Anolis sagrei: one gene and its partner. The protein of the gene in region 1 interacts with the protein of each later gene in a biochemical or structural test. Links are inferred from orthologs where the notes say so. Each region holds a gene or a part of one and is shown in the gene's direction. Other genes may lie near its edges.

What was found.
Region 2: the proteins of CTTN (region 1) and ACTR3 form a complex in vitro, tested with the Homo sapiens proteins (3 studies listed by BioGRID). The link is inferred for Anolis sagrei from reciprocal best matches to the Homo sapiens genes CTTN and ACTR3.

Annotation. Positions count from the first base shown.
Region 1 is NC_090021.1:267,289,877-267,306,144, forward strand, and holds the start of CTTN (src substrate cortactin), read left to right. Parts: upstream 1-10,533; 5' UTR 10,534-10,687; intron 10,688-16,268.
Region 2 is NC_090021.1:215,782,517-215,798,549, forward strand, and holds the start of ACTR3 (actin-related protein 3), read left to right. Parts: upstream 1-8,887; 5' UTR 8,888-9,193; coding exon 9,194-9,237; intron 9,238-16,033. UniProt on the Homo sapiens protein: ATP-binding component of the Arp2/3 complex, a multiprotein complex that mediates actin polymerization upon stimulation by nucleation-promoting factor (NPF).

The DNA of each region.
Region 1 (16,268 bases):
ATCTTGTTTTGGTGAGAATTTTAGATATTATGTATCTTGATTTCAGTAAGGTACCCAATACTAGAAGGAGATATTCTCCCCTTAAATGCTTGTCCAAGGATTAAGATCTGCTGATGTAGATCTGCTCCATGCCCCACCATTGAGATCAAAACACTGTCAGGACATAGGAAGGGGCTTTATCAGCCATGACACCCCAACTGTGGAATATTTGCCTTCTGAAAGCCCAGCTGGCACCAAGATTCCTTTAGTTAAAACAGAAGACACAAAATAATAAGTGGAGTAGCAATACCCTAGAGCAGTGGTTCTCAACCTTTTCTTCACTATGGACCCTCCCTCTTAAATACTTCCTGTGGCTGCGAACCATCAAGACTTAAGATTTAAAATACTAGATTGCATCAAATAATTATTTCAAATTTTCTCTTGAATGTTCTTCAAATTTCTGGTTTCAATTGGCTGATCATTGTTTTTTCAGTTTTGTTTTGGAAAGTGTCCCCTTTTGGAATTAGATTTTCCAGTCGAAGGACAATTTTCCCAATTTGTTTAAAAGGATTGTAGGTCAGTGGGATTTAATATCCACAAAAATAGTCTGCAGGATAGATTTCCCCACTGCTGACTTACTGCTTGTCATGTGTGCTTATTTCAAAACTGTACATTTTAGAGAAATGTACATGTGCTGTGTTTTAAAGACAAAAATTGGTTTTTAAACCCTAGCATTCTTGGGTCACTATCACACGGTTTTCACCAACTGTTCTAAGGCCCAAGCCAGCTAATTAAGACTCCTTATGGAATGGCTGAAATAACTTTCATTCTCATTCTCCCCTTCTAATGGAGCCGATGATGCAACCCAAAACGTTGTGAATTTCTCCTGTAAGTAAAAGCTATTACAGTCTCCTGGCACCAATACTTGCAGTCATAAAAGTGGTGCAAAATAGTTTGTAATGGCCAGAAAGGGCTTTCGTGGTGTGCTGCATTTCATAGACTACCAGTAATTTTCTTGTAGCACTAGCCTTTTTAATAAGAGGGATAGCTATCGAGTCGAATATTAAAAGGGCAGGTTGCAACAAACATCGGTTAAGACGCAGACTCAATGTTAGTTCACAGTGGTTCTTGTAGATATTATCATGTAATGCTAACACACAATTACTTATGAAAAAAGGAATCCCCTTAATGGGTGAGAGACATGAGGCATGTCAGTCTAACCTTGGGGAGGCTCAAGAAGCTGCCCATAATGTCAAATCTTGTCTTATGCATAGCTGATAATGAAGACTTAAAGAGTTTGCACTACCAAATGAGGCTGATGGATGTACAGAGACAAACACATGATAACTGCAAATTTCCTAATAATATTCCAAAAACTACGTCAGCAGCCAGCTAATGGGCAGTGTACACCATCAGGATCCTGAACTTTCTGTGGTCCAGCAACCCCTCAGCCTGGTAAGTGAATGGACTAGTCTTCCGACACATGAAATATGAATATGATCCATTCATCTGTGCTACTCCAAGGAAATTATAGTGGAAAAGAAATTATGTTTCTTGTAGCTATAGAAACTGTATCTCTATGTACTTGTCTGATGTTGAATAGCAGCAATCAGTACTGAATTGCTCTGAATTCTTGCTGGTAGCTGGCTTTCATTGCAGGCAGCTTTTTTCAGGATCTCTTCCTCAATCTATGGTTTTGAAATCACAGATTACATTTCATGATGCAAATATAGAATCAAAACTACAGTCATTTTTTTTTAGATCTGAGGCAAGTATTTGCATCTAGAACAACATCAGTTTCTATATTTATGTCTCAAAGCCCAGAAAGAAGAAACATTCTTCTGGGGTTTTTTTTGTTTGTTTGTTTAAGAAAGAGGAATAAGAAAAGGAAAAGGAAAAAGGACCATACATAGTAGCCAGGACCTTTCTTGAGATTAAATAAATCTAATAAAATACTGAGGTAGCCATAAAATTTTATTATGCTTGATGTTAATCAAATCAAGGTCTGGGGTGAGTGTGAAATTGGCAGAGTGTTACAATTTAATCTGTCCTGATCTCAGTGTTTAGATAGACAGCAAGAAGAGGCCGAAGACCTAGTGAAACTAGGCTGCCCCAAGTGCTATGAAGACTTCTGGCTAGTCTAAGGGACAGAGATACACCAACAGGAACATATTCCCAAGCCAGTTTTCTCTTGAAAGCTATATTGTTGTTGTTATTATTAATTTCATTAATATCATATTTATTTTTACCGTGCCTTTCTCCCCATGGGAACTCAAGATGGCTAACAATCCCACACTTAGTCAAGTATAAAAGGCGCAATACAAAAATAAAAAAACCCAATTAAATAGTAACTGTTAAAAACAAATTAGAATGCAATAAATACACTTCAAATGGTCTTTAAAACTCATAGCAGCTAAAATTTCTAACACCCATCCTACTTCATGGAAAATCTTGTTCTATCTCCCCAGATCAGAAAAACATGTATGTTTGTTTTTTCAAATATTTATCCTGGCCTACATTCAAGGATTCATGGTTTTTATTGTGTTACTGATGTTAATTGTAATGAATTTTTACCTGTGTCAAATGTTTTTAATGTTTAAATTATTTTTGTACTGTTGTGGGCATCGAATTGTGCCGTTTTGTAAACCGCCATGAGTCGCACTCAGGGTGAGAATGGCGGTATAGAAGCATAGTAAATAAATAAATAAATAAGGATTCAGGGCAGAAAACAATAAAATCAATTTCAGAAGATAAATAAGGATAACCATTACATAAAGGCAACAAATATATGCAATGTATCATTTCAAACTAAACTTAAAACAATTTAAAATAATCCACTACACACGTTCAAACATGATTAAATTAATTCAGCATCAAAACCTTCATTAAAAAGCCATGTTTTGACTTTATGCCTCAATGTCACCAGTATCAATACCAATGTAGTTCTTTCGATACCACAGTTGGGGTGCCATGGCAGAGAAGGCCCTTCCCTTTCTCTTCCTCTACCCCATTGGCACTACACAAAGGAGGATTGTGAAATACAGTAGTTCTCACTTCTCAGGTAAACATATAGAGACAGAGGCAAATTCTCAAGTATCAAGGTCCTAAGCCATTTAGAGATTTAAAAATATAGTCAGTCCTCTACATTTGAAGTTTTGACTTTTGAGAATTAGACTATTCACAAGTTTGATGTAAAATATTTTCTTTAGAAACTCTTAAGTCCTCCAGTGCAATCAATGCTATGTTTTGCTTTGAGTGGAAGTTGACAATAGAGTCATACTAGAAAATCTAGAGCTTCCTAAAAAGGTGTACTCTCAGGTAAATAGTATTTTAAAATATATATATTGAAATTTATATTATCAATAGACAATAAATACAATAGGAATTGTTTTGTTTGTTTGTGTTTTTTTACTTTTACAGCGGTCCTGTGCTGCTAACCCCAGTGAATGTGGGGTTAGCAGCACACTAACCCTGCATTATTTCCCTAATAAGACTGTATCTCTTATTAGGGAAAGGGATCAGTCCTTCTTGAATTAAATTACATTTTAATGGTTTATCCTCTTTTGGGAAAGTGTGCTTATACCCAGTGGTTGCGGGTGTCTTTTATGTCAGCCTGTCTTGGTTATAGCCCAAACTTTAAAGCAACCATCCTTTAGGTGCTGAATCCTAATAATGTAAAAATGTAACAGGTGCCAGTTGCTTGCATACAGAAAAAGAAGGGGTAGGAATACCCTCTCTGTTCTCACAGCTGAGATCAACTATTGTTGGGCTCTTCCCATGCAGATCTGCCTCCCGCCATTATCATTCCGCCTACTTATTATTCCCTTGGATAGCAATCTCATTTTTATTGCATTATACATTATATGTATATGACCTTGAAATCTGCCAGAATGAAGGTTATGCTGGAAGCTTCTAGTTATAAACAAGAAGACAAAACCAGTTATGCAGCCAAAGGAGAGCTACTGAGATTTCAGCCTGCTTGAAGGGACCCTGAGACCTGGGGTGGGAGTACAAACCCCAAAATTTCTGGTTGAAATCCCAAAGAGGAACTCTCCTGTGAAGATCCAAGGAGGATATATTGTGACATTTTGTTTCACATCACTGCTGCCAAACTGTAATAGAATAGGTACCCATTTAAGTTTTCTCCACCCTCACCACTCCTATATCTCATCTATAATATATCTTATATGTATCTTGTTTACATTTAATATGTGTGGTATTTTATTGTTCTTCAACAAATTTTCTGGGTATTCTGACTTTGCACCTGAAATAATTTTTTTGTGTCTGATCTATTAGAAGTGCATACAAAAGGGTGGAAAATTAGTAGCAAACATAGAAAAGGTAATGTCAGATTAAAGTACTCTGGTGAAGCTATCCAGACACCTCACTCACCTGCATCCAAGGCCCTTTCACACTGCCCCTGTATCCAGGATCTGATCCGAGTATCTGCTTATCTTGGGTTTTCTGGCAGTGGAGACTCATATAATCCAGTTTGAAGCAGATAACCCGGGATCAGATTCTGGGATATAGGGGCAGTGTGGAAGGGGCCCAATTTAGGGATTAAACTCAGGAGTCTGAGTAGAACAGTGACATCAACAGGGCAATTTCTGGCTAATAAGGGGCCCTTCTACACAGTCATATAACCCAGAATATCAAGGCAGATAATCCACAATATCAGCTTTGAACTGGGTTTTCTGAGTTTAAGATAATTAAGATAGATTAATGTAGTAGTAGTAGTAGTAGTAGTAGTAGTAAAACTGCAAAGAATCTGGCACAAGCCAGTAAAGGTTGTCCCAGTGGTGATCTGCACACTGAGTGCAGTGCCTAAAGACCTTGGCCTGCACTTAAAAACAATTGGCACTGACAAAATTGCCATTTGTCAGCTGCAAAAGGCCACCCTACCCAGATATGTGCACATTATTCGCCGATAGATCACACAGTTCTAGACACTTGGGAAGAGTCAGATGTGTGATTGAATACAAAAGTCAGCATAGTGATCTTGTTTGCTGTGTACTAATCTTGTTGTATGATAATATATTTATTTCCCACCTTTCCTGGAGGTTCAAGGCAGGGTACAACAAATTCAAAAACATGAGAACATAAAATATGTATAATAAATTACATGGATAAAAATACAAAAATATAAAAAACTTGCACCAAACAGATACAGAATTTATTTATTTATTTACCATACTTCTCTCCTGTCCCAAGGCTTCCCATCTAGGCACAATTCAATACCACATTAAAACACAAACATAAATTATAATACATTAAACAGAAAATCATTAAACATATAAATACAATTAGAACAAGATATAAAAAAGCAATTAAAACAAATAGTCCATATTCCGAGTCCATGAGCCATTCCAGTTATAGTCACATTAATTCTCAGCTGTCTATTGCATTGTAGCTAGTCTCCAAACACCTGGTTCCAAAGCCAAGATTTTATTTGTTTTCTGAATGCAAGGAGAATTGACATATAGTAGCAATAGAATGTAAATATAGTAGCCATAGTAAAGTAGCAATAGAATGTAAATCCAAACTCATGACAAGTTGACTGGGTAGGCCTGCCAGAAGAGAGGGGTCTCAGTTGCCTTTTAAATTCCAATCGGTCTAGATGTTGGAGCTCTTCTGGCAGGTCATTCCACAGTCTTAGGGCCTTATGTTTGCCAGTTCAGGTCTGGCTGGTTGGAATAGCTGTCCCCCAGAGGTCCTAACTGTCCTAAAGGTAGATTGTGCAGCAGAAGGAGATCCTATAGGTAACTCGAACCTAGTAGGTCTGGATGGGGCGGCCAATACTGACTGAAGTGTGGCTCAGTTGTTCTCAAATCTTAATGAAGCCTGCCTGATTAACCACTAAGCCTGCATGATGGAAAGGGGAATCCCAAGACTGGTGCATGAGGAAATGTGTACTACATTGGAATTTTTGTGGTTGCAACTGTCCCCACTTCTCCTTTTGTTCCAATGCTGAGAACGGAGGCAGACATATGAGCAAGTGAACAACTGAGGGAAGGAGGGACACACACTTTAAGGACCCAGTTAGTCAGCTGCAGGAAAGGATATGGAAATACAACAATGCGGTCCAATAAGCCACAAAACAAAGCAGTGTGTGTACAGAGAGAAAGCCACACTTAAAAGGAACATGATCAAACAGATTGTGGAGATGGAAACAGAATTCATAGTGTGACTAAAGTATCTCCAACTGGAGCTATGTATATCTTAAGAAAGAATGTTGAACTTAATTTCAGAACAAATCATGTTAATATTCATGCAGTTTTTTTCATCACAGTGTGACTGCTTTATTTAGAATAAGCGTATGAGTACCATAGTCAATGTAAATTAGAAGGTATGATAGAAAGGGAAAAAAACCACACAAAACTGCTGATATTATAGATGCTGTTTCTTTAAAAACCGGGTTATGGCACAGCTGGTTGAGAATCAGCTTCATTAAAATCACTACTGACCAAGGTCATGAATTCAAAGCCATCCCGGGTCGGAGTAAGCTCCTGACCATTTGTCTAGCTTGCTGTTGACCTTTGTAGCCCGAAAGACAGTTGCATCTGTCAAGTAGGAAATTTAGGTACCGCTTATGCGCGGAGGCTAATTTAACTAATTTACGATGCCATTAAACTCTCCAGCAGCCTGAAAAAGAATGAGGAAGTACTTCATCAGTGTCACAAGTGGATGGTGAAGCAACAGTTCCCCTGGTGGCCAGAATTCAAAAAGCATACCCTCATGAAGCTGGAAAGTTAAATAGCTTCTGTGTGTCTGTCTATATACGTTGTGTGTCTATGGCATTGAATGTTTGCCATGTACATGCGCATTGTGATTCGCCCTAAGTCCCCTGTAGGGTGAGAAGGACGGAATATAAATAATGCAAATAAATAAATAACATGTTCATATCAAATCAACATTTGACAATGCAATGCACACCAGTCTTCCCACCAGCAGACATGCAGCAGAAAGATACAGTAATTTGAAACAAGCCAAACAGAACATGGGGATTTTGCATTATATCCCAGCTTCAGTCACAAGAATGGGATAAATCACTAGGCATATTGGGTGAAACATCTCCTTAATCTGCCTTCTGTTATGATCTGACTCAACTACCCAAACAGATATTTATTGGGGCTACTCTGCAGGCGTGTTTATCTCTACTGTGCAATGACCTTCCTTAATTAGATACAATGGAGGACATCTTGACTACACACAAGGCAGAAATGTGCTAGCAGAGCACTCCTTGCAAAGCTCGGCAATTAAGTAAAATCTCGACAGAAGGAAAACAAGGGAGGCTGTGGTATTTGTCATCTGAAATGGGCTTCCAAATATTAAAGAGGAGTTGAAAGAAGTAATGTTTATCCACATGTTGAAGGCCAAGTGTTAACATTAAGCGTTTCTGCTTAATTTTAAACCAGACTTCTACTAGTTTCATAAAAGTCTGACTCAGTTGAGAGGAAGTTCATTTTTACTACAGCATTTAACTGACAGAGAGCATCACTGTGGAAAAATCATGACACTTCCTACCAGGGCCATAGCCAGAAAAAAATTTCAGGAGGGGTTGAAATTTTCAGGGGGGGGGGTGGGTTTGAAAATTTCACGGGGGGGGGGGGGTTGGTTGAAACCTGCCTCCTAGCTCACGCTGAAGCAAAGAGCACAGCAGGGGGCAGAGCAGCCTTCAATAGCCTGCAGCTCCGCCCCTATCAACCACCTCCACCAAGTCTGGCCTCCTTAATGAGAGCATTCAGCACACACAACCCCAACTTCAGGCCTGTAGCGAGGGGTTTTATTTAAGGGGTTCAACCCCCCCCCCCCCCGAATTTTTCAGATTTTTAAAAAAAACCCAGTTTACTCATGAATTTTAACTGGTTAACCAAATCCCCATGCTAAGTCTATGAGATGCAAAAAATTAAGAGTCCCTCCAGAACTGCAAGCACTATCTCAAGCAAATATTTATTTATTTATTTATTTATTATTCGAACTTATATGCCGCCACTCTCCTGGGGCTTGGAGCGGCTTACAAGAACAAGCTAAAATCGAACACAATTTAAAAACAATTTAAAAACAGCAATATCAGAGATCAAAGTCCCATTGAAACAGATATGTCTTACATGCCCTGCGGAAAGCTGATAAGTTCCGCAAGGCACGGACTTCAGGTGGCAGAGTATTCCAGAGAATAAATTGTCAATATTTAAGGCCTTGCATGGTCTGGGGCCGATGTACCTGAGGGACCGCCTCACTCCTACCAACCCCAGAGATCCCTCCGTTCTAAGGACCAAGATCTATTGGAAATTCCCAGTTTCAAGACCGTGCTTCTAACAGCAACCAGACGCAGAGCCTTTACAGCAGTGGCACCATCACTCTGGAATACTCTGCCACCTGAACTCCGTGCCTTGCGGGACTTATCAGCTTTCCGCAGGGCATGTAAGACATTTCTGTTTCAACGGGACTTTGATCTCTGATATTGTTATTTTTAAATTGTTTTAAATTGTTTTTAAATTGTGTTCGATTTTAGCCTGTTCTTGCAAGCCGCTCCGAGCCCCAGGGGAGTGGCGGCATACAAGTTCGAATAATAAATAAATAAATAAATATTTGCTTGAGATAGTGCTTGCAGTTCTGGAGGGACTCAATTTTTTGCATCTCATAGACTTAGCATGGGGATTTGGTTAACCAGTTAAAATTCATGAGTAAATTGGGTTTTTTTTTAAAAAAATCTGAAACATTTCGGGGGGGGGTTGAACCCCTAACCCCCCCCCCCTCGCTACAGGCCTGCTTCCTACAGGTGTCTGAAGAGAGCTGCTGGTTAGAGCTGCTATGAACTACAGTCCTTTTGGAGGACCACCCTTTGCTCACCCCGCTCTTCACACTATTCATGATTCATGTCTCATTGTCATCCATATATCAATCTTTAATTTACCCAAACAAAGTAAGTCTAAGTGTACCTCTGTCCTTGAATATATACTGTAATTCCTTTATCCAGAAACAACTATTATTTATTTATTTATTTATTTACTACATTTATATACCGTCCCTCTCAACCCGCAGGCGACTTGGGGCAGTTTACAGTCAGTACCAAGACCATAAAATACAATTACAATACAATTAAAAACATTAAGATAATATAGAACCATAGCATAATCAATAAAAACATATATCATTAGAGTTTCCTTGTTAAAACATTCAAGTACTGAAAACAGTCCCTGCTTCTTAAGCCCCTTCTACACTACCATATAAAATCTAGTTTATCTGCTTTGAACTGGATTATATGGCAGGTTAGACTCATATAATCCAGTTCAAAGCAGGTAATGTGGATTATCTGCTTTGAAAATCTGGATTATATTGCAGTGTAGAAAGGGACTTCGATTTCTGTACCAGAGAGTATTAATGTTGTCATTCAAGGGCAGGCATTGAATAATTATACACGCACAAGTATCAGTTTCAAAATTCCACATAGGATGGAGTTATGGCCACTAGAATAGTATCAGGCTGTTGTATCTGTGCAGTTTGAATGTAATCCAATCAACAATTTGGAAGCTAAATGAACACTGAACCTAATGCTGTGTGCATTTGTGAAGACATTACATAAGATTCTTCCCAGAAAGAGCCGCAAGGTGCTGACTGAGGGAAATGCTAATTGGCTGCTTGACATTGTTAATCTAAATTCAAAGACATAGTCTGGAATATCATTATGTAAAGGGCTTTTGGAGCACCTTGGAGTCTAACTGAAAGAAGGAAGTTGGTACCATAAGCTTTCGTAGACAAAAGCTTATGTTACCCACTTCTTCATCTCAGTCTCGAGGGTGCTCCAAGACTTAGATCTATTCACTTCTTTTTCCCATGTATAAATATTAAAATTAATATGACGCCCCTACTTCGTGGATTTTCATTTATCTCGGGTGGTCCTGGAACAGAACCCCATGATAAGTGAGGGAACACTGTATTCCAGAGCCCTTCAACACAGCCATACAACCCAGAAGATCAAGGCAGAAAATCTCACAATATCTGCTTTGATCTGGGTTTTCTGACGGCCCTTCCACACAGCCCTATATCCAGGAATATCAAGGCAGAAAACCCCACAGTATCTGCTTTGAACTGAGTTATCTGAGTCCACACTCTGATAATGTGGGATTTCCTGCCTTGATATTCTGAGATCTAGGGCTGTGTGGAAGGGCCCTGAGTCCACACTTCCATACAATCCAGTTCAAAGCAGATAATGTGGGATTTTATACAACTGTATGGAAGGGGCCTCCAAGTCTTCTGGAGGGGGCAAAGGTGGCGCGTTTCCACGGGAGGGAAGATGCTGCTTTCTCTTGGGCCGCAGGTCAGGCAGTGGAACCTCCATGCCTGGCTTTGTCTTTCGGGGCGTGCGTCCGCGGGTGTGCCCCGGGGGGGGGGTGCCTTGTTGGGCCGCCCAGGAGCCACGAGGCCTCCCCTCTCCCTCCCTGCCTCCCTCCCTGCCGGCCTTTCCTCCTCTTCCCGGGGCGCGCGCCTGCCTGCCTGCCTGCCGGCCCGCCCTGTGCGCGGGAGCCCTCTCCCACCCCACCTGATGACGCGCCGTGATGCAAAACAGGAAACGGGATCTTGGGAGAGGCGGAAATTGCAGCAGCCCCAGCAGGAGCAGGAAAGCTCGGAAGCGCCCGGCGCCGGAGGAGAAAGAGGCGGAGAAGGAGGCGCCGCCGCCGCCGCTGCTGTCCCTGCCGCCGGCAAGAAAGTGAGTGGCAGGAGCCCCGCGAGGGAGAGGAGGCGAGGGGGTGCTGCTGGGGGCTTCCCCCAAAACAGGCGGGCGAGGGTCTCCCCCTTGCTTGGGGTCCCTCCTCAGGGGTCTCCGGCTGGCCTCTGCAGGTGGGGTCAAGGCAGTGGAGGAGGAGGAGGAGGAGAGGCGTCCAGGGCGCCGCACCTGGAGCCAGGCACCAGGTCGGGAGTGGGCGTTGATGCGTGGCACATGGCAGCCGTGGGGCTGGAGTGGGCTCGCCGGCTTTGGGAGGCTCTTTGTTCTCTCCTGGAGGCTCCAAGGGGCGTGTGTGCCTCTGGGAAGGAGCCAGCCGCCGGAGGAGCGCTGCCTCGCCAACCCTCCCTTTCCCTTCCTTCCCACTTCCCCCCTCTCCACTCCTCTTCTCCTTTCCTCTCCTTTCCTCTCCACGCCTTCCTTTTCCACGCCTCGCCTTCCTCTCCTCATCTGGCAGTGCAACTATACTGTAGAACAGTGGGATCTCAACCTGTGGGTCCTCAGGTGTTTTGGCCTACAACTCCCAGAAATCCCAGCTAGTTTACCAGCTGTTAGGATTTCTGGGAATTGAAGGCCAAAACATCTAGGGACCCACAGGTTGAGAACCACTGGTGTAGAATGAATGCAGCTTCTCTCCAATTCAACTGCCATGGCTCCATGCTATGGAATCATGGGAGGTGAAGTCTGGTCAGGCATCAACACCCTTTGATTGGTTGGTGACACTCAAGACTAGGCATGGGCAAACTTTGGCCCTCCAGGTGTTTTGGACTTCAGCTCCCACAATTCGGAATTGTGGGAGTTAAAGTCTAGAGCACCCGGAGGGCCGAAGTTTGCCCATGCCTGCTCAAGACCTACCACTCTCATGATTGCATAGCAGGGAGCCATGGCAGTTGAAATGGTGTCAACCTGCATTCATTCTATGGAGGCAGCCTGGGACTCTTATCCAGGAGGGAAGTGGTGGCTTGGCTCTTGACCCCCTGTGAAAGGAGATGGCATCATGGGAGGTGTTCCCTTCTTTCACCTGGCATCCCAGTGAACAGTTTAGAACAGTGGTTTCCATTTTTTTTTTGGACCAGGGACCACTCTCCAACATTAGTGCCAAAAGGGTTATTAATCAGGTTTTGGTCAACTTTAGATTCAGTTTGGTTATTTGAGGTGCTGATTCAGAAAATTGCATTGGATAGACCACATCAGCTCTAGATTCTGATACAGAACATATACCATCCAGTACTCATCATCTGCTCACCCACAGAAAACCATATTTAATAAGCCTCAGTACTATAAGAGAGTTATATGAGACCTGTCACTCTTGTTGCAACAGTGTAGCAATGGTGAGGCTGTGGACCATATTTTAGTTCTTGCGTACCACTGGTGGTCCATGGACCACAGGTTGGAAACCATTGGTTTAGGAGAAAAGGGAAACTTTACAGAGCTGAAGATTCCAGGCCAAAGAAGCAGGGCTTATTTCTGACAGGGACTTCAAAAAGTTAAGGGGGCATCTAGGATGACCCAGGTGCAGGAGAGTGGCGTTTTGTGTGTGTGTTCAGGAACAGTGGCCTGGTTTTAGCCAAAAGGGGTTTCCTAGCTACAGCATTCCCAAAGTTCTGAACAAGATACAGTTCTGTAGATTTGTTCTTAAGCTGAATTTGTTTGTAAGCCAAAATAGGTCCATTTTTGAAGTGTAACTCCAGCCAAAAATATAAATCTTTTTGCTTTGGATGGGATAGGGAAGGGTTTACACCCTTGTGGTATTTGTTGTGCTGTCTGTGCCCCTTTTCAGAAGATTTCACCTCACATTCTGTCCCTATGATCATTGGATTTTTAAAATTGGCTTGTGGAAAAAAGGATTGGTGATAAAACTTCAGTGGACACACCTTTCCCCCATGATAATTCTTCCAGGAGTGAATTTCCCTTCCTAGGGGTAGATTTCTTTTTCTGCCTATTGTCTCACCCCCGTTCTTAACTATGAGCTGTTTATAAGGTGGATGTTTGTAACTTGGGGACTGCCTGTACCTAGAAAAAAAGAGCTGGATAGCACCTTGATCTCTGAAGACCTACTCTGTAGGTGTTGGGCACTTCCACTTTGACTGGGAGTACATCTACATTGCAACAGCACCAGAAGCAGAAACAGGAAAGCTCGGAAGCACCTGGGGCCAGAGGAGAAGGAGGAGGCACAGAAAGAAGTGCCACTGTTGCTCTGCTGCTGCTGTGTTGTACATTGTACAATTCATGCAATTGGACACCACTTTAACTGCCATGTTTGATTGGTATGAAATTGCTGGAGTTATGGTTTTACAGTGCTTTCTCTTCCAAAGAGTGCTGGTGCCTCACCAAACTACAAATCCTATGATGGAGCTCCTGGCATCGCAATGGGTTAAACCCTTGTGCCAGCAGAACTGAAGACCAACAGGTCGGAGGTTTGAATCTGAGGAGAGCACAGATGAGCTCCCTCTGTCAGCTCCATATCCCCATGCAGGGACATGAGAGAAGCCTCCCACAAGGATGTAAAACATCAAAACATCCGGGCATCCCCTGGGCAGCGTCCTTGCAGATGGCCAATTCTCTCACACCAGAAGTGACTTGCAGTTTCTCAAGTCACTCCTGACATGAAAAAAAAAAACTATTATTCCATAACATCGAGGCATTCCAGTTAAAATGATGCCAAACTGCATTAATTGTGCAGTGTAGATACACCTTGGGATACTGTTAGCACACATATAAATAGTTTCTGGGTGTGATCAGGTATAATGTGGGACAAAGGTGTGATAAGACATTTTACTGTGCATCTTGCCGCTCTGAGTCCCCCTTCTGGGGTGAGATACCGTGGGGTAGAAATAGAATAAATAAATAAAACGTTTATGGACACTTCTTGACAGCACTTCCGTGTACATGTTTGCCACCAGATTACAGCATATAGTACAGTGAAGTCCAGTTGTGGAAACATCCATGATCTTGGACAGGCAACATAATTTAGTGCTACTGAATGTGGATATTGGTGATGTGATGTGTTCACCTTTGAAGAACTCCCTGAAATGCCATGTTGCTTCCATGAAGTTTGGTGCAAGGGTTACATGTATCACATCTCTCCCTCATAATGTGAGAACCTGTTCTTGGAAAAGAGTCAGGAGAGCTAGGTTTTTGAACTGGAAGTAGAAGCTCTTGTCTGGAAATGAATCATACTGCTGAGCTATTTTGTTTCCTCTGATTCAGTAAGTGGCACATAATATCACTCATGAGTTGTTGCTGGAGGCAGAGTTTTGATTTCTTCAGGCAGAAATATGCCTGGCTCTGGAATACCTTCCATATTTGAATGTGTAAATAAAATATAAAATATTGTTGTTTATTATTATCAAGTTGACTAAGTTAAGGCAGCCTTGTGATTTACAGGACTCCAAGACAACCAGACTTGCTCAGGTCTTGCAAACACATTCAACTCAGAATTTGCAATACAATATAAAGTATAAGTAGGGGTGAGAAAAATATGGGCTTCCTGATGTTGTTGGGTAGCATCCCACACTCTCTTATATGGCAGCTGCAAGAGTGTAGCCACATTTGGAAAACTACTCTGGCACCCCGACATGAGAAATGAAATGGTTCAAAATGAAGATGTTTATTGAAGGAAATAATTTCAGGTGTGGTCATTGGTGTCCTTTCTCATTATTTAGCTGTTTAGCACAGACATCTATGGAGACAATGCTTTCTTTTCTGTCCTACTCCATGACTATTTAGGATTTCCTTCTTCCTCCTAACTCTGTACATTCATTCATAATTGTTTAGATGCAACATCATCCATTCACCTTGTTTTCCAGTCTTCCTTACAGGGGTTCTGCTTGAGTGTTCCTGGACAAACAAAGGTCTTATATATTTTGTAATTATATAAATAGATAAAATCAACAGACAGTTTCAGGCAAGCATACTGCATTCTTCCCCTTGACCAAATTGTGGTTTAGTGATCAGGGATGTTTTGTAATTCTCCGTGCTGTTGTACTGGCATTCCTCTGTGAATTTCCCCTCAATTTTGGAGATTAGTGTTAAGTCTGCATTTCCATTTTTTGCTAGGAGTTTTGGTTCCAAACCGCAGTTCAAAAGCATGATCAAAAGGAAATTTGCAAAATGCATTTTGGGCCAGCTATGCTTCACAAAAATGTTGCTGCTAGCACAATGTTGACCAAAGACTTGCTCTCTTTATAAAAAAGTGTTGGGGGAAAATATTCATGCAAGGGGAAAGGGGGAGGAGCACATGGTTTAATAATTTGTCAGTGCTAAAGCTCTGAACTGAGGTTATTTGCCAGGGAAGTTTATACAGTCAGTTATTGTAGTTTGACTGAAATGAGCACCCTATTTATCCCTTTACCAATTTAATTGTAGCTGACTAGGCTTCTTGATGCTTTCCTGTTGATAGGAGAACCTTCTGTCCTTCAGTTTCTGGAATCAGAAAGTGCATTCATGGCTTAAAGTAGTGGTGAGACTCATGTGGTCCTACGGATATTGTTAAACCCCAGCATGGCTAGGGCTGGCGAAATTTTCAGTCTGACAACACCTGCATATCCACATCATTCCCACCCCATCGTTAGACATCTTCTTTAGGCCAGGTATGGCAAAATGGTTAGATGTAGAATAATTCATTTTCCCACTGTGTTGTCGAGGACACTGGATGAAAATTTGAGCCAGCCTTCTTTCTGTTTTTCTCAGCCTAATTTAACTTGCAAAATGCTTGTAAGATAAACATAGGGAGAAGGATCATGCACACAACCTTGAGTCCACTGGAAGAAAAGCCAGTTTATTTCTAGATATGGGATTACTAATAGGTTGTTAAAGTACTTGTGGAGGGGGTATTATACCCACCAGACCCTTAAGATCCCTAAGGAAAGGCTTTTTTATCCCATCACTGTCATGGGCCTGTTTGATGAGGACACAGGAGAAGGTCATTTCAGTGACTAGTCCGAAGCTGTGGCATTCCCTACCATGGGAGCCTAAACTGGCTCCATCTTTGCCACTTATTGTTGGCAGGCAAATACATTTTTATTCGCACAGGTATTTAATGATTAAGTAGCTGCAGGTAATCTTTATAGGCATGTGCTGCATTATTAACTTTATGTTTCTTCTTTTAAACAATTTTACACTTCTAATGAAGTTTTAACATGATATTTTGTTTCATTGTGGTCCCCCCCCCCCACCCAGTTTTTTTGTTTGTATCTTATTCAAGCCCTGTTGCAGCCTCCCATGAGTCCCATGGGTGGTGAAAGACAGGTTATAAAATGGATTAAACAAAAGTTTGATCCAATTTTTTGCTTGCTTAATAGGGGAAGGGGATTTCTGGACAAATGCAGCAGATTTCTCTCTTGCAGTATGGACTTTGATTAGACAAGGGTGAGCCATTGTAGTGAGCCTGGGTGTTAGTTTTCAGGTAGGATCCTCTGGCAGCACAGACTGCCAAAAAATATCAAAGAAAGAAAACAGATCAAAACAAGAAGGAACTAGATATCCATTTCTGGTTTTGAAAAGAAAGGGGCGTTAATATTTAACAGTGCAGTGTTTTCAAAAAGGTAGATCCTGTCTGATCTTG
Region 2 (16,033 bases), about 52 Mb from region 1:
TCTGTTTAGTTTATTCTCTCTCCCTCCCTCCCTCCTTCTCTCCCTCTCTCTCCCTCTTTGGTAGTACAAAGGAAATATTAGTTGTAGCTCCCTTGGCAAATAAAGCTGTTCAGTAAAAGTGTGAGCAAGGTCTCATTGCACCAGGAGAGCAAGGGCTGGGCACTAGACAACACCTATTTTGCACCACTGTTCTTAATTAAACAAGCATTTCATCTCTAAGGTGTTACAAGAACCCTTTGCAAACTGATATTCCAGAATAATATGGCTATGCCTTTTCTAAAAAATCTGTCGCTGTTTCTTCTATGGTATCTCTAATAATTACTTACAGGATACTACACAAAATGTTGCATCTATTTATGGTACACACTCTGTTTTCCTTCCTAAATGCATGTGTGTGTCTCGGGGGGGGGGGGATTTCTTTTGCTCAAAGTTATTTCCATATATCACAGGTTGTATCCTATGTGTCTCATAAATGTGAGGTAGGTACACACAGTACCTCATTGGGAAATTATTGCCAGAATCCAAGCAAACGTGAAGCCAGTTCCATAAGAACTTGTGCACTTCTGACTCACTAATCTCAGTGAAATTCCCACTGAGATAATAATTTTCAGTTATTATCTGATGAACAAGTATCCTTTCCTTTAAAGTGTGAGTACTAATAGAAATCTATTTAAAGTAAAGTTACTGGCATAGATTAAATCTTAAAATTTCCTCGACAGAATTAATATTGAAAGTTAAAAATATAGTGGGCACAAAAATGTATGATATTGCCAGGCTGATTCTATGATCAAAGATGTATTACCAGAACTTCCATTAATGGAATGTAGCTGTAATCCTATACATGTCTAGCTATGGAAAAATGAAAGGAAAATTATTGGAAGGAGTGTGGTGGGGAAATAGACGCAAAATATTGCATACCCTTCAACATTTAATAGATAAAAACCAGGATACAAATAACAAAAAGAGAGTGGGGGGGGGGGGGGAGAATCATAGAATCATAGAATCAAAAAGTTGGAAGAGACCTCATGCGCCATCCAGTCCAACCCCCTGCCAAGAAGCAGGAATATTGCATTCAAATCACCCCCGACAGATGGCCATCCAGCCTCTGTTTAAAAGCTTCCAAAGAAGGAGCCTCCACCACACTCCGGGGCAGAGAGTTCCACTGCTGAACGGCTCTCACAGTCAGGAAGTTCTTCCTCATGTTCAGATGGAATCTCCTTTCTTGTAGAGAGAGAGAGAGATCAAGATGGAAAACATTATTTGTAAGGAAGAACAGACAAGCTAGGAGAGACTGCATCAGTTTGGTTGTCTGAGTTTACAGCTACATTGTAGAATAAATTGATTGATTGATTGATTTAAAACATTTATATTCCGCCCTTCTCATCCCGCAGGGCACTCAGGGCAGAGCACAACATATATACGGCAAACATTCAATGCCGGAACATAAACTATAAATATACACAAACATTAAAATAACTTATATCAACTTTAAAATTGACTGTTTTAAACCATCTCAGGACACCATTCTATTATTGTCTCATTTTACTGCCCCAAAGCCTTGGTCCCACAGCCAGGTAGAACTGCACTTTAACTGCCATGACTCAGTGCTATGGAGTCCTGTGGTGTTGAAGGAAAGTTCTGAGAGTGCCTTGGACCACAAGAAGATCCAACCAGTCCATACTTCAGGAAATAAAGCCCGACTGCTTATTGGAGGGTAGGACAGTAGAGGCAAAGATGAAGTACTTTGGCCACATCATGAGAAGACAGGAAAGCTTAAAGAAGACAATTATGCTGGGGAAAATGGAAGAAAAAAGGAAGAGGGGCCGACCAAGGGCAAGATGGATGGATGGCAGCTGGAGGTAGTGACTGCCGACAGGGAGCTCTCGCGTGGGCTGGTCCAGTAGGTCACAAAGAGTTGGAAACGAATGAACGAATGAACAACACCAAATGCACCCTGAGTGCATATATACTGAGTGGAGAGTATGTCATCTTAAGACAGTGCAGTCCAGAAATAGGTTTACAATCTCAGTGAAAAAAGAAGTGGGACTCTCACTTTAAGAGGCAAGTTTCAGTTGTTTTCATGCTTCAGGATGTGCTAACTCAATTTTGAAAAAAAAGCTTTCATTTTTGGCAGGTGGGACCAAAATGGTTAGAGGAGCAGCAGCTTGTAGTACCAGACAAGGGTGACTTGTACATTGAAGTTCTGTTCCTTAAAATCTGATGTGGCTCTGCAGTCCAGTAATGTTTAAGTAAATACCTGTTAGTTGAAAGCATCTTTGTATTTTGCTGTTTCTTCTATTGAGAACAGGAAACAACATATCAACACTAGCAGATTGCCCAAGTATCTCTGCAGACGTTGCTCAAGTATCACATCCATTGCTGCACATAAATCAACAGGAAGGAGATTCACTTGCTACATAAAAGAAAATGGGAGAAGGTCTCAACACCTCCATGGGGCAACACTGGTGTACCCACCATCCATGATTCTAGCTATTCTAAGAATCTCTTATGTTCATACACATGTGTTTATTTATGCACAGGGAGATATGAATACGTGACTCCTTTTAATTGTCATTGAATAAATAGTCAGTGGGTACAGTGGAAGTGCAGGTGACATATGGAAAACTGTTTCAATTTATATTGTAAGCCATTTTGAGTCTCGTTTAGGCAAAAAGCAGAATCCTTGTCATCATGGGCCATCATTCATGGCCAAGTATGATTATCTTCCAGAAGCAGGGTCTTAGCGATGGATTCATAAATGACTGTGAAGGCCTATTCTGGATCCACTAGACATACATTTCCAGATAGAAGGTGGTCACAAGGGTTTGGTTGCCATGCCTTCCTCTTGGCACATTTCTTCTTTTCACCCTTTATCCATGCCTCTTCAAAATCTATAACACCTTTGGTAACAGCTGACCTTGAGTTGCCAGGGCTTTCCAGTTTTTGTGTTCATGCCACATTTTTGTAGGTTTTTAGCCCATCTTTAAATCTCTTTTGTTGTCCTCTGACATTCCATTTTCTGTTCTTTAGCTGAAAGTAAAGTAACTGCTTTGGGAGGAGGAGACCGGGCATTCAGCGGTGGCCAGTCCAACAAAATGGATGGTGAGAATCACTGCTTCAATACTGGTGGTCTTTGCTTCTCCCAGCACACTAATGTTTGTCCGCCTGTCTTCCCAAGAGATTTGCAGGATTTTTATTTATTTATTTATTTATTTATTTGCTTTATTTCTATACCGCATTTTTCAGCCCAAACAGGCGACTCAATGTGGTTTTTGTTTTTCTGAGGCAACACTGATGGACTCTTTCCAGAAGTCAAGAGTGACATTTGTAAATGCTCTGTGTTTTGTAGCCACACAACAGAGTTGGATGGAGAATAGCTTCATAAACAAGCATCTTGGTATCTCCACAAATGTCCCGATACGCAAACATTCTCTGCTTCATTCGAAAAAACACAGCACTCACAGAGATTAGACAATGTTGTATTTTGATGACTTTTGTGGAGAGGTGGCTGCAAATGGAAGCAGAAATGGTCAACATTTTCTAACATTACACCATTAAGCTGTGTTAGTTTGTGCCTGCTGGTAGAGTTCTTTGATTTTTCCTATGTTAACTGAAAGGCCAAGCTTTTCATAGATTCTGAAAATATGTTTAAAGTGGCTTCTAAATCTTCCTTTGAATGAGCACATTATCATCAGCATATTGGAGTTCTATAACAGAAGTTGTTGTTATCTTACTTTTGGCTTTCAGCCTGCTGAGGTTAAACAGCTTGCCAATATGTGATTTCCACACCAGTGGGAAGTTTCCCATAGAAGCCAAATGAATAATTAAATGGATTGTGCAGCCTCACACCATTAGTCCTAAAGACATTGAACACGCAGCAGTAATACAACTTTTTCCAAGGCATTACCATGCCCATAATAGTGAAGCATACTGGTGGAAAGGGCTCCAAGGCCCAGTGGGCAAAAGTATAGTAATGATAAATGCAGCCATGCTTTCCAGATGTTTTATGGAAACCAAGCCATTACAATATAACCCTGTTATCAGTGTATTTAATGTTCATGGCTTCACTTATCCATGTTCCAAAAATTATCCCCTTGCCCTGCTTCTGGGAAGTGTTTCCTCGTATGAGGACCTGGTTATTTTGGTTTATTGTAATTTGTCATGTTAACATTGTGTTAGTAAATGGTGGTGGGAGCCAGTAGAAAATTTGGTTGTGTTAGGACCTAGCAACAGATATTATAGATAGTCTCTGGTCTGTTGAGATCCCAACATTTTGTAACATATTGCTTATTTTTTTTCCACTCACCAGATACCTTTGAAGGCAACAATAAGGTTGATGTGGCCCTCAATAAAAATTGAGTTTGACACCCCTATTCTATGGTCTCCTGTGGATACCAAATTTTGTGGATGCTCATGTTCCATTATATGCAATGGTTAGATTTATATCCTACCTTTATCTCAGACATGCAATTTAGGGCAGAAGCGCCTTTCCAATAAGTGAATATCGTGCTTCCAATTCAGACATATACATTTCACTATACTGTTAGCTGAGAAGACCGTGAAAATATATGATCTGTGTATTTTTACAAACATGTTCATCTCCCATAATTATCAGGACCCACAATTAAAGATGAAGTGAAGAACGGAGAAATATAATTTCATACACTGTAGATTATTTTCTGTCAATAACAGCACCCATTCTCACTAATATCAGATGAACATCTCCCCTCATCTGGGCTTCAAGGAGCACTTACACTAATGCAGTTTATGGAAAACATCCAAAAGATTTCCTTTATGGCTCAACCATTTTCAATTATTTAGAGGCCAGAGATTAGGAAAATATACCTATATTGCATTTTGTGAAGAGGCATATAAGCATAGGAAGCAGTTTGAACATTTCCTTTGTTGTCAGATTTTAGCAGCAAGCCTATGTTAAATTGAAACTACAAAATATTATTGGATGTAAATTCTTTATCTCGAGTGAGAATAAGCAGCAATCCATGTTTGTGGATTTCAACTCTTATAGCTTAAAAATAGGTAAGCTACATGTGGTTTGCAGGCCACATGTGGTTCCAGATTCCCAAATAATCACTAGTCTACAAAGGGCATTTCCCCAATACTTAGATAACATGCTGGAACCACCAGGGGTCAAAACAAAACCTATGAATTTCACAGGATTTTCCTAGGCAAGAAACTCAGACAAAGTACCTCCTCAGAAACATAGCCTACAGTACCTGGTCTCCCATCTAAGTATGATCCAAGACTAATCCTGCTTAGCCTCCAAGACCAAGGGGGATCTGGTGACTTTAGCTGTTTCTTAGTGTTGATTGCCATTAAGTCAACTTTGTTATGGCAACCTTATAGATGACAGGCCTCTAAGGACCTTATTAGAAGTTGTCCTCTATTTCTACACACTTCAAAGATGGGATTCCACGGATCCCATTAAATGACACAGGACACTTCCATGGGTCTTCATCTCCGTAGAAACGGGTGGATTTTAAAGACAAGATAGTCGACACCACTCGTCTCCGTCTGTTTAGAAATGGGTATTTTTCTATGGGAAATTGTCCATTTATCAATTTTCAGTCCATATTCTGATATTTCAGGGTGGGTGCTCATGTGAGGGGTCTTTTCATGCTCCTTGTTGCTCCTTCTGCTGCCATTAGTCTTTGGACTTCTATTCTCCTTTTAAAAATATTTTGTTGTTGATACTGTGACTGTGCAATTGAAGCATGGACCTTTGAAATTCTGTAATTGCACTTTTGAGTATGGAGAATTGGTACCAAGTTTGGTCCAAATCCATCACTGTTTGAGTCTACACTGTACGGATGACAGAATGGGAGGAGACAACACTCGCCCATGTGATGAGAAATGAAGCACAGGGTTAAACAGAAAAGGAAGGAGTGATGGGAGTAAGCAAATTCTCTTGTTTTATTTCAAAGGAAGGAAGACGATTCCTCCTGCTTTTCCCCCTTTGTGGGATGAGGTACGAAGTCAGTGGTTCTCAACCTTCCTAGTTCCACAACCTCTTAACACAGTTCCTCATGTTGTGGTCACGCTGAACCATAAAATTATTTTTGTTGCTACTTCACAACTGTAATTTTGCTACTGTTATGAATAGTAATGTAAATATCTTATATGCAGGATGTATTTTCATTCACTGGACCAAATTTGGTACAAATACTTAATACTGGTGGGGTTGGGGGGGTTTGGTTTTGTCATTTGGGAGTTGTAGTTGCTGGGATTTATAGTTGACCTGCAACCAAAGAGCTTCTGAACTCCATCAACAATGGAACTGCACCAAACTTGGCACACAGAACTCCCATAACCAAAAGAAAATACTGGAAGGATTTGTCGGCTTTGACCTTGAGTTTTGGAGTTGTAGTTCACCTACATCCAGAGAGCACTGTGGACTCAAACAATGATGGATCTGGACCAAACTTGGCACCAATACTCAATATGCTCAAATGTGAACACTGGTGGAGTTTGGGGAAAATAGACCTTGACATTTTGGAGTCATAGTTATTGGGATTTATAGTTCATCTACAATCAAAGAGCATTCTGAACCCCACCAACAATAGAATTGGGCCAAACTTCCCACAGAACCCCCATGACAAACAGAAAATACTGTTTTCTGGTGGTCTTTGGCGACCCCTCTGACATTCCTCTCACTAACCCTCTCCAGACCCTCAGATTGAGAAACACTGTTCTAAGTCATCAATAAGCCAGGCCTTCAAGACTCGGGGGGCAATTGATTCCTTGATTGAGTCCATCCATGTGGAATGTGGTCTTCCTTTCTTCTTGTTGCCTTCCATCTTCCCATTGTTTTTTAGTGAGTCATGTCTTTCTATGATATGGCTGAAGTATGACTGTCTCAGTGTAGTCATCTTGTCCTCTAGGGAGAGCTCAAGCTTGATGTGCTCTAAGAACCATTTATACTGGTATTTTTTAAAGCAGTCTACAGTACAATTCTCCAATGTCACATTTCAAAAGAGTTGGTTCTCATCTGATTTATAATAATAATAATAATAATAATAATAACTTTATTTTTCTACCCCACCTCCATCTCCCCGAAGGGACTCGGGGCGGCTTACATGGGGCCATGCCCAGACAACATACAGTTAAAAACAGAACGCCCATATATAAAACAGCATAAAACATCATCATCATAAACAATAAAAGCAGGCATCATAAGCAACAATATAAGTACCCTTTCTTTCCTGTTCCGTTTTTACAACCATTTCTATATAAGAAATTGGAACTATCATGGCACGGACAATCATGCCTCTGGTATCCAATGGTGCACCTTAATACTTAAGGATCTTGTTTAGTTCCTTCACAGCTGCCCTTCCAATCCCTAGGGTGCACCTACACTGTAGAAATAATGCGGTTTGAGCTGCATTGGCTCTAATGCTATGGAATCCCGGGAGTGGTAGCTTTACAAGGCCTTGAGCCTCCTCTGCCAAAGGTGCCTCACCAAACTACAATCCCAGAATCCCACAACATTTAGCCATAGAAGTTAAGAGTGGTGCCAAACAGCATTCATTCTATGTGCTGCTTAAGGTTTTCATGGCTGGCATCATTAGGTTGCTGTGAGTTTTCCGGGATTGTATGGCCGTGTTCCAGAAGCACCCTCTCCTGATGTTTCACCCTCATCTATTACAGGCATCCTAATTGGTTGTGAGGTCTGTGGGAAATTAGGTGTGGGGTTTATATATCTATGGAATGTCCAGGGTGGGAGAAAGAACTCTTGTCTGTTGGAGGTAGATGTGAATGTTGCAACTGGCCATCTTGATTGAAACTGAATGGCTTTGCAGCTTCAAAGCCTGGCTGCTTCCTGCCCAGGGGGAATCCTTTGTTGGGAGGTGCTAGCTGGCCCTGATTGTTTCCGGTCTGGAATTACCGCTTTTTGAATCTTACCCTGATTTTAGAGGGTTTTTAGCCAGATTTTCTTGATTTTCATGGTTTCCTACCTTCTGTTGATATTGCCCACATACCTGCCATAGACGTGGACGAAATGTCAGGAATGCTTCCCGAACATGGCCATACAGCCTGGAAAACTCACAGCAACCCAGCATTCATTCTGCAGTGTAGACGCACACTGTGGCAAATACCATAGGTAATGGCACCCACACTCTTTGGCAGAGAAGGCTGAATATCTTGTAAAACTGCAAATCCTAGCAACAGGATGACCTAACACTGAGCCATGGCAGTTAAAGTGGTGTTAAACTGCATTCATTCCTGGTTTCTGAGGGCCCTTCCACACAGCCCTATACCCCAGAATATCGAGAATCCCAGAATATCTGAATTGAATTGGGTTGTCTGAGTCCACACTCAGATAATGTGGAATCTTCTGCCTTGATTTGAATTGGTTTCTGAGTTCATATTCAGATAATATGGGATTTTCTGCCTTGATATTCTGGGATACAGGGCTGTGTGGAAGGGCCCTCAGAAGGGGGAATGGGAATTTAGGTCCTTTCCACACAGCCCTATATCCCAGAATATCAAGGCAGAAAATCCCACATTATCTGAAAGTGGATTCATAGAACCCAGTTCAAAGCAGATATTGTGGGATTCCCTGCCTTGATATTCTGGGCTATAGGGCTGAGTTGAAAGGCCCAAAGTGATTTCTGTTGGGCGAGTTCACCTTTCTGCTTCAAGCTGGGCTATGAAACCCAGGCAGGCGAGAAGCGGAAGTAGTGGGCAGGAGGAGGAGGGGCGGGGAGAGCGAAAGAAGAGAAGCCTGGCCGAGGGCCCGCCCGCGCCACTTCTCCTCAGCCGCACGCTTCCCGAATCGCGAGCGCGTCACTGCATGCTTCGGTTTGACGCGCCCGCCCGCCCCCTCCTCCTCCTTCCCCCCCCCTTTCTCCGCGGCTCCTCCCCCCTCCTCCGACTCTCTCGGCCGGGAGGGACGGAAGAGGCGGCCATTTTGGGCTCGCGCTCGTGTGTGAGTGTGAGCGAGGGGGGAGCGAGGCCGAGGCTGGGAGTGACTGACTGGCTCCTTTGCGGAAGTGGGTGGCTTCGCTCCCCCCGCCCCCCTCCTCCCTCTCCTCCTCCGGTCCTCTGAGTGCAAGGAAGGAAGGCAGGAAGGAAGGCAAGAAGGAGGCGAGCCAGTCCCGCGGGCGCCTCGGCCGCACCTTCTTTTCCCTCCGCGCCACCGTCGCCGCCGCCGCCGCTCGACCCGGGAAGGAGGATGGCAGGGCGGCTCCCGGCCTGCGTGGTGGACTGTGGCACCGGGTGAGCCCAGGGCCAGGGGGAGGGAGCCAGGCGGGCAGAGAGGGATGAATGGGCCGGAGGAGGCCAGCCCCTGCCTGGGAGCTGGCTGGCTGGCTGACTGGCTGCTGACAGGTCGCCGAGACGGGAAAGGGAAGGCTGCCATTGCGGTTCCCTTTGGGGGCGGCCCCACTCTCTCTGTGAATATAAAATAATATATAATGTATGCGTGTGTGTGATGTATATAGATGTGTGTGTGCATTGTATGGTGTATGCATGTGTGTGTATGTGGGGGGGGGGGAACTGCTTGCTTCAACCCACCCCTTTCCCAAATCAAATAAAAGGTCTCTCTCTGTGTATATAATATAATACATAATATGTGTGTGATGTATATAGATGTGTGTGTGTATTGTATGGTGTATGCATGTGTGTGAGTATGTGTGTGTGTGTGTGTGTGGGGCGGGGGGTGAGGGGGTGGAACTGCCTGCTTCAACCCACCCCTTCCCAAATCAAAGAAAAGGTCCCTTTTTAAGTACATCTAAACCTCAGTTCATTGACATTCCACTTTCTCGTCCCTTCTCCATTGCACACCCATCAAGTTGTGTGTATGTGTGTGCACACACACACATAATACAACATTTATATGTCGCCCTTCTTCTCACCCTGAAGGGGACTCAGAGCGGCTTACAAGTTACATATATACACAATATATTGTATTATTAGCATAGCACAATATTAGTATTATATATAACTACATTGTGCTATACCACTCTACTGTAATATTATTAGGTTGGATATATTTGTGTGGGTGTGTGTGATGGGGCAACTGTTTGCTTTACCCCCATTTGAAAATGAAATAAAAGGTGGCTATTCCTTCCTCCTTTCCCCGAGGCATAGCCAATCCCCCCCCCCTTTGGCTCTCTTTCCCCCCCACTGCTCCCTCTGTTCTGTTGCAAACCCTCCAAGTTGTGTGTGGGTCCAACAGCCTGCCTGTTTTACCCACCCCTGAAAAAAGTACAGGGTTTATTTTCTCTCTCAGATTATTCAAAGCTTCTCCTCACCTCATTGACATCCCTCCCCCCCCCCTTCATTGCTAACCCTACAAGTTGTGAGGTGAGTGTGTTTTATATACGCATACATATACATACATACATACATACATACATGAAGAGGGGTGTCAGTGAGGTGAGAAAAAGCTTTGAACCATCTGAGGGGGGAAAGGGAACCCTGTATTTCATTTTCAGAGGTGTGTAAAGTAAGCAGGCAGTTGGATATATATGGATTTTGCTTTTGGAGAAAGGGGACCTGTCTCCTCCATGGCTGTCGTTTTGACGGTTTGCTCAGCCTGTTCTTGTCTTGAAGGCATCCACCTTCAGGAAGGTGGCTTTGTGGGAGGAGAAGGGAGTCACGCCCTAAAACAGCAGGGCTCCTTCCAGGTTTAAATATGTGGGATTGGCCTTTTGCTCATTCCTCAGAGGCGGTGGCCTCTCTCATGCACTTCTTTATTTCTTTCCTTTCTGGAAGTGGGCTTGCATTGTCTCCCCATTATAAAGTCACGGAAGATGCCATCGCTACTGTTTCTGTTCATTGTTCATTTAAAGGCTGACTGGACGTTTTCCATTAGGAGGATGTCCTCTGGAAACTGGGTGTTTGCACCCTAATATTATCATTGCATACCATAATTTTTCTACTCGTTTCAGTGGCCTAGAAATTTCACCCTTTAGTTCTTTGAAGAAGCAGAGCTTCCCCATTTCTTTCATAATGAAAACGTGCACTTTCATGCAGCTTAGCCACAGAGTCAAGCTCAGACAGTTTAAATATTTTATGCTTTCCAAATCAAAGCCGGCTAACAAATAATTTTGAAAGGATTTCACCCTCTTGTCTGTAATCTGCAGATAGATCTAGTGGAGCGGTAGCTTTATTAAGCAATGTCATGTTTTTTCCATATGTGTCATTTCTTCAGCATTACTTCTCTGTGTGTGGGTGAAAAAAAAAGTCCACCCGCTCTAGTGAGCAAGCGCAAACCAACTTCCTTAGTTTTGTCAAAGGCTCTTCCTCCTTTCAGGCTTCTATACCTTATAAGGCAGTTTTCAGTGTCAAACCTGAACCAAATCCTTTTTTTAAATTTTACAATTGACAGCTGCAAGGAAAAATAGCAATGCTCAATATTTAATATCTGCTTATAGAATGGAGCTTTCCAGCAGACAGTGAACTAAGCCATTGGGGACTTCCTGAAATGAGCGTTTTGTATCTTTCTTTTTGGTGCCTTAAGAAACTGGGCGTAAGGAAATTTCTTTTTGTGAAGACCTTTGCTCAGTGCATATGCAGATGACTTTGAAAATAACTCAGCAGCATTTTGATATGTAGATTGTATTTGCAGCATCTAGCAATGAAATAATAACATAACAGGTCTGCTTTTACAGCCCATATAATTGGTGGCACAGTGAGTTAAATTGCTGAGCTGCTGAACTTACTGACTGAAAGGTCAGTGGTTCGAATCCAGGGAGCAGGGTGAGCTCCCGCTGCTAGCCCCAGCTTCTGCCAACCTAGCAGTTCGAAAACATGCAAATGTGTGTAGATCAATAGGAACCGCTTCAGCTTATTTTTCAATCTGGAAAAAGCATGTGTAGGTGAGAAAAAGAGTAGGAAAAAACATCACAGGATTAAAGTACAGCTAGTCTCTGACTATTTAAAATTAAAGCTATAATGAAAATCTTAATATATAAATTCTTTTGATTTTCTACTGTTATACATTTCTGGAAGCTGTGTTGTTTTGGTGAACTTATGGTGATTCAGTATCACACAATACTTAATAAGTCACGTTTTCTCCTTCGAAAACCTTTTTTAATGAAGTTTTGACTATGCACATCTATATGAGGCTTCTTTACATCTCTGAGAACTCAGTGTGAATTATAATGTTAAAATGATCTGTGGGTCAAAGAGGTAGGGATAATCATAAGTGAATAAGGGATTTAATTCCTGATTCTGCAAAAAATTCCTGAATTGCTTCTTGACAATTGAAGGCAGGATTTTTAAAATATTAGATAAAATTGCACAGACAACTTTAATAGTTCTTTCAAATAACAAACTAAATTTGTGAATTCCTATGAAAATTGAAAGATGGGAGGTCTCAATGCTATTATCCTGGAATTACATTCTCAGTACTGAAGCTGCTTATTTTATGTTTAGCATGTAGAGGAGACACATAGAGAATAGGGGGACCCATTTTAAGTGCCCTCAGTCCTTCATGGGAGTTGCATACCACAGTTTTCTGAAACTGGAAATGATTTTCCAGTAACATCCAGTAACCTTTTTGTTTTGCTTGTTTTGGGCTGGATTTTGGAATAGAGGAAGCTGAAGCAGTTATTAACACTTAACATTGAACCCAATGAAGAGGTTTTTTGGCAGTAGTTCTCAATTTGTGGGTCCCCAGATGTTATGGCCTTCAACTCCCAGAAATAGTAACAGCTGGTAAACTGGCTGGGATTTCTGGGAGATGTAGGCCAAAACAGCAGGGGACTCACAAGTTGAGAACCACTGTTTAGGGCATTGCTGTAAGTGTTAATGGGCACATGCTGCCTAGATACTTGCTTACTTACCTGAGTCCTATACCTGTTTTAGAATATTGATTTGTATTCATCGGGTTCTTATGTATAGTTTCAATTTCCAATGATGTATTGTACTCCTCTGACTTGAATTGTTCTGATGCCATTCTACCCTACACCTTTCTCTGTCTCTTCTGTTGATGCGGATTGGCTTTAATGTAAAGATATGGTTGTTTAAATGAATAAGTTGATTGGAAACTACTATGTATTTCCTTCTCATTCTCATAGCCCACAAATGTTGTGTTTACCTGTAAAGATTTATTTTCTGATTACTTCAGTTCCTGTTATAGATGACTTATGAGGTACTCTTCATGCAACAATGTGCTTATACTAAGAGCTGAACATTTAAAAGTGAAAAGGGGAAATGCAGGTCTCCAGTTAGACATGGAGCTGCAGTGCCTGGTTCATGTCCCTGAGATTCTCCTGAATGTTCCTTTCCCTGCAGCAAAACTGGAGTGTTAAACGATCCTGCTTAATTAAAAGTTAATTGAGTTTTGAAAGCTAAGTGTGTATGGAGGTTCTTACAGAACTGAGATCTTAAAAATGCAGTATAATGAAAATTTAGAATGATGGTAGATTGATTTATAGGTTCGAACATGTATCAGAATGGTTCATTTCAGACATGGACCAAATTTTGATTTGTACTCACAGTGGATTGATCTTTCAGGTGCATTGGGTTACACTATCTGCAACTAAGATTAGCTTATTTGAACACCATGCCAAACTGTAGTACAGAACTTGATTTCTAATTCTGGTATAGTGCAAAAGATGGCTTGTCAGTTCAGTCATGATGACACAGTAAAGTTAAATGTAATGTTTAATGTATGACATCGTAACTTGGGTGAGACTAGATGACCTTTTTTTTAAAAAAAGAAGTATTCCACAAACTGTGATAAAATCTGTTTTTCATAGCATGTGATTTTTAAATAGTTATCTTACATAAACTATGAAACTTGTTTTATGGTTGGTGGTACAACATGCATAAATTGTGAACCTGAGGATACATACATACAGACATGCGTGTGTGTAAGGTAATATTCTGTTCACATTATATTCAATTACCTTGCACATTAGGATTATGAACTTCTTAGGCAGTGTCCTATTTAAGCCATTGATTCCAAGCATCCATTTTTTGTAATTACAGTTCATTTAAAAAATATTTGCATTTCTATAAATATGAAATACTCTTCAATCATAAACTGTTCTGAGGACATGTGGTAGTTACTGTGTATTGGAGCCTATGCCATTATTTTGCAGATCATTTTTAAAGTCAATTTATTTATTTAATTGATACCCAGCCTTTCTTCTAACTAGGGTTCATGAGTGGAACAAATTAAAGCAAAGTGCTTTGAAAGCGATTTTCCTGCTTCTTGGCAGGGGGTCGGACAGGGTGGCTCTCGAGGTCTCTTCCAACTCAATGATTCTATGATTCTAAGGTAGAATTAAAAATAAGACAATATACAGATTAAGCAAATGTTGCAGCCCCATGTAGAGTGCTATACTGTAGTGGCCCAAGTGGAAGATATTCAAGTGGTGAGTGTGCTGTACCCATATCTAACATCCAGGAACAACAAGTGATACATTAGCCCCAACAGTGCAGATGCATTCATGGCTATTATGAAAACTTGAACATTCAGGTTTAGGGTTAAAATCAAAATTACAATCAAGCAACAAACCTGTAATTTCAGTGGGAATGCAATCCCATTTAGCACAGATTGAATCCTTATTCCCTGGTTTGCTTTTTGACAAACCAGGAACACTTTTGCCTTAACATGGTTAGGTTTCAGTTTGCTCACCTATGTACAGTCCATTACTCAGAATAGAAACTGTCCTAGTAATGAAACTACTTCCTTGAAATTGCATGTAAAGAAAATATAGAATCTTGGGCATCAGGTTGTTTTCTTTTGTAAGAAATTAGCATAGTCTTCTATATATGTAAACTGTTAATTATGATAACATAGCATGGCAGTGTACTCATTCACACAATTTTCTAATCATGTTACTCACATACATGGAACTGGAAACACGCCATCTTTACTACATAGGAGACAAGAAGGCTCCTCTCAGGTTGTGGAAGTACCTTTAAAGGGAAGCTAGGCATCTCTGTGTACGAACCCACACGATCTCTTTGTTCATCTGGAGAGGCCCTGCTGACGATCCCACCGGCATCGCAAGCGCAATTGGTGGAGACGAGGAATAGGGCCTTCTCGGTGGTGGCCCCTCGACTCTGGAACTCTCTCCCTAAAGTCATCAGGATCAGGCAGGCCCCGTCGCTAGCAATCTTTAGGAGGAGCTTGAAAACGTGGTTGTTCCAGTGCGCCTTTCCAGAATAAGGAAACTCCTAGCATTATGTCCCAACGCACTTTATCAGAGATCCAGGATATCTGCATGCCCATCCCCCTCCAAACACCCCACCTTGTCATGCCCAGCACTTGGCCCGGCCATTGTTTTTAATTGCGTCATTGGGTGTTGTTAATGTTATTGCTATTCTTTGCTATTGTTTTGTTTTTTGAGTTATTGTGTTGTTGTTGCTGCTGCTATTTTTATTGTTGTATTTGGGCTCGGCCTCTTGTAAGCCGCACCTAGTCCTTCAGGAGATGGTAGTGGGGTACAAATAAAGGTTTATTATTATTATTATTATTACCCACTCCATGCTGTCTTTGGATGACAGGCTAAGCCCTATTTATTTCAGCAAGTTTTTAGCAACTGACTGCAGAAAAAGACTTTTAAAGGGAGGTGCTGAACTTAACTCATTTAAAAATAATTGTATATTCATTTGACTATTAATTTAATTAGCCTAATTACTATTTAATATCATAACTTACTTTATTTTTATTTTTACCTTTTTTAGTTGTCTTGTGATCTGTCCTGAGTCCCAGTTAAGGGAGAGTGATGTCATCATACAGATTAAGTAAAGAAATGTGTAGCAGAGATTTTGGATATTGATTTATATGTTCCTAAAAGAACAGCTTTTTCATCTGCACAAAAACAAGTTTATCTCTTTTGTTCATTGTGATGAGAACTTTAATGTTTAATTTTCACATTGAATTTGTAGCTTTTTGTAAGAAACATCATGGCTGAACTGACTTCTCAAGAAATTCCTAAGTGAAAATCCTGGAAGAATAATCTTGATGTTATCCATTTTTCAGTTGTTTAATCCCACAAAAAGGGATTAAATACTCATCTTGAGAATGTGATAAAATATAATCTAATTA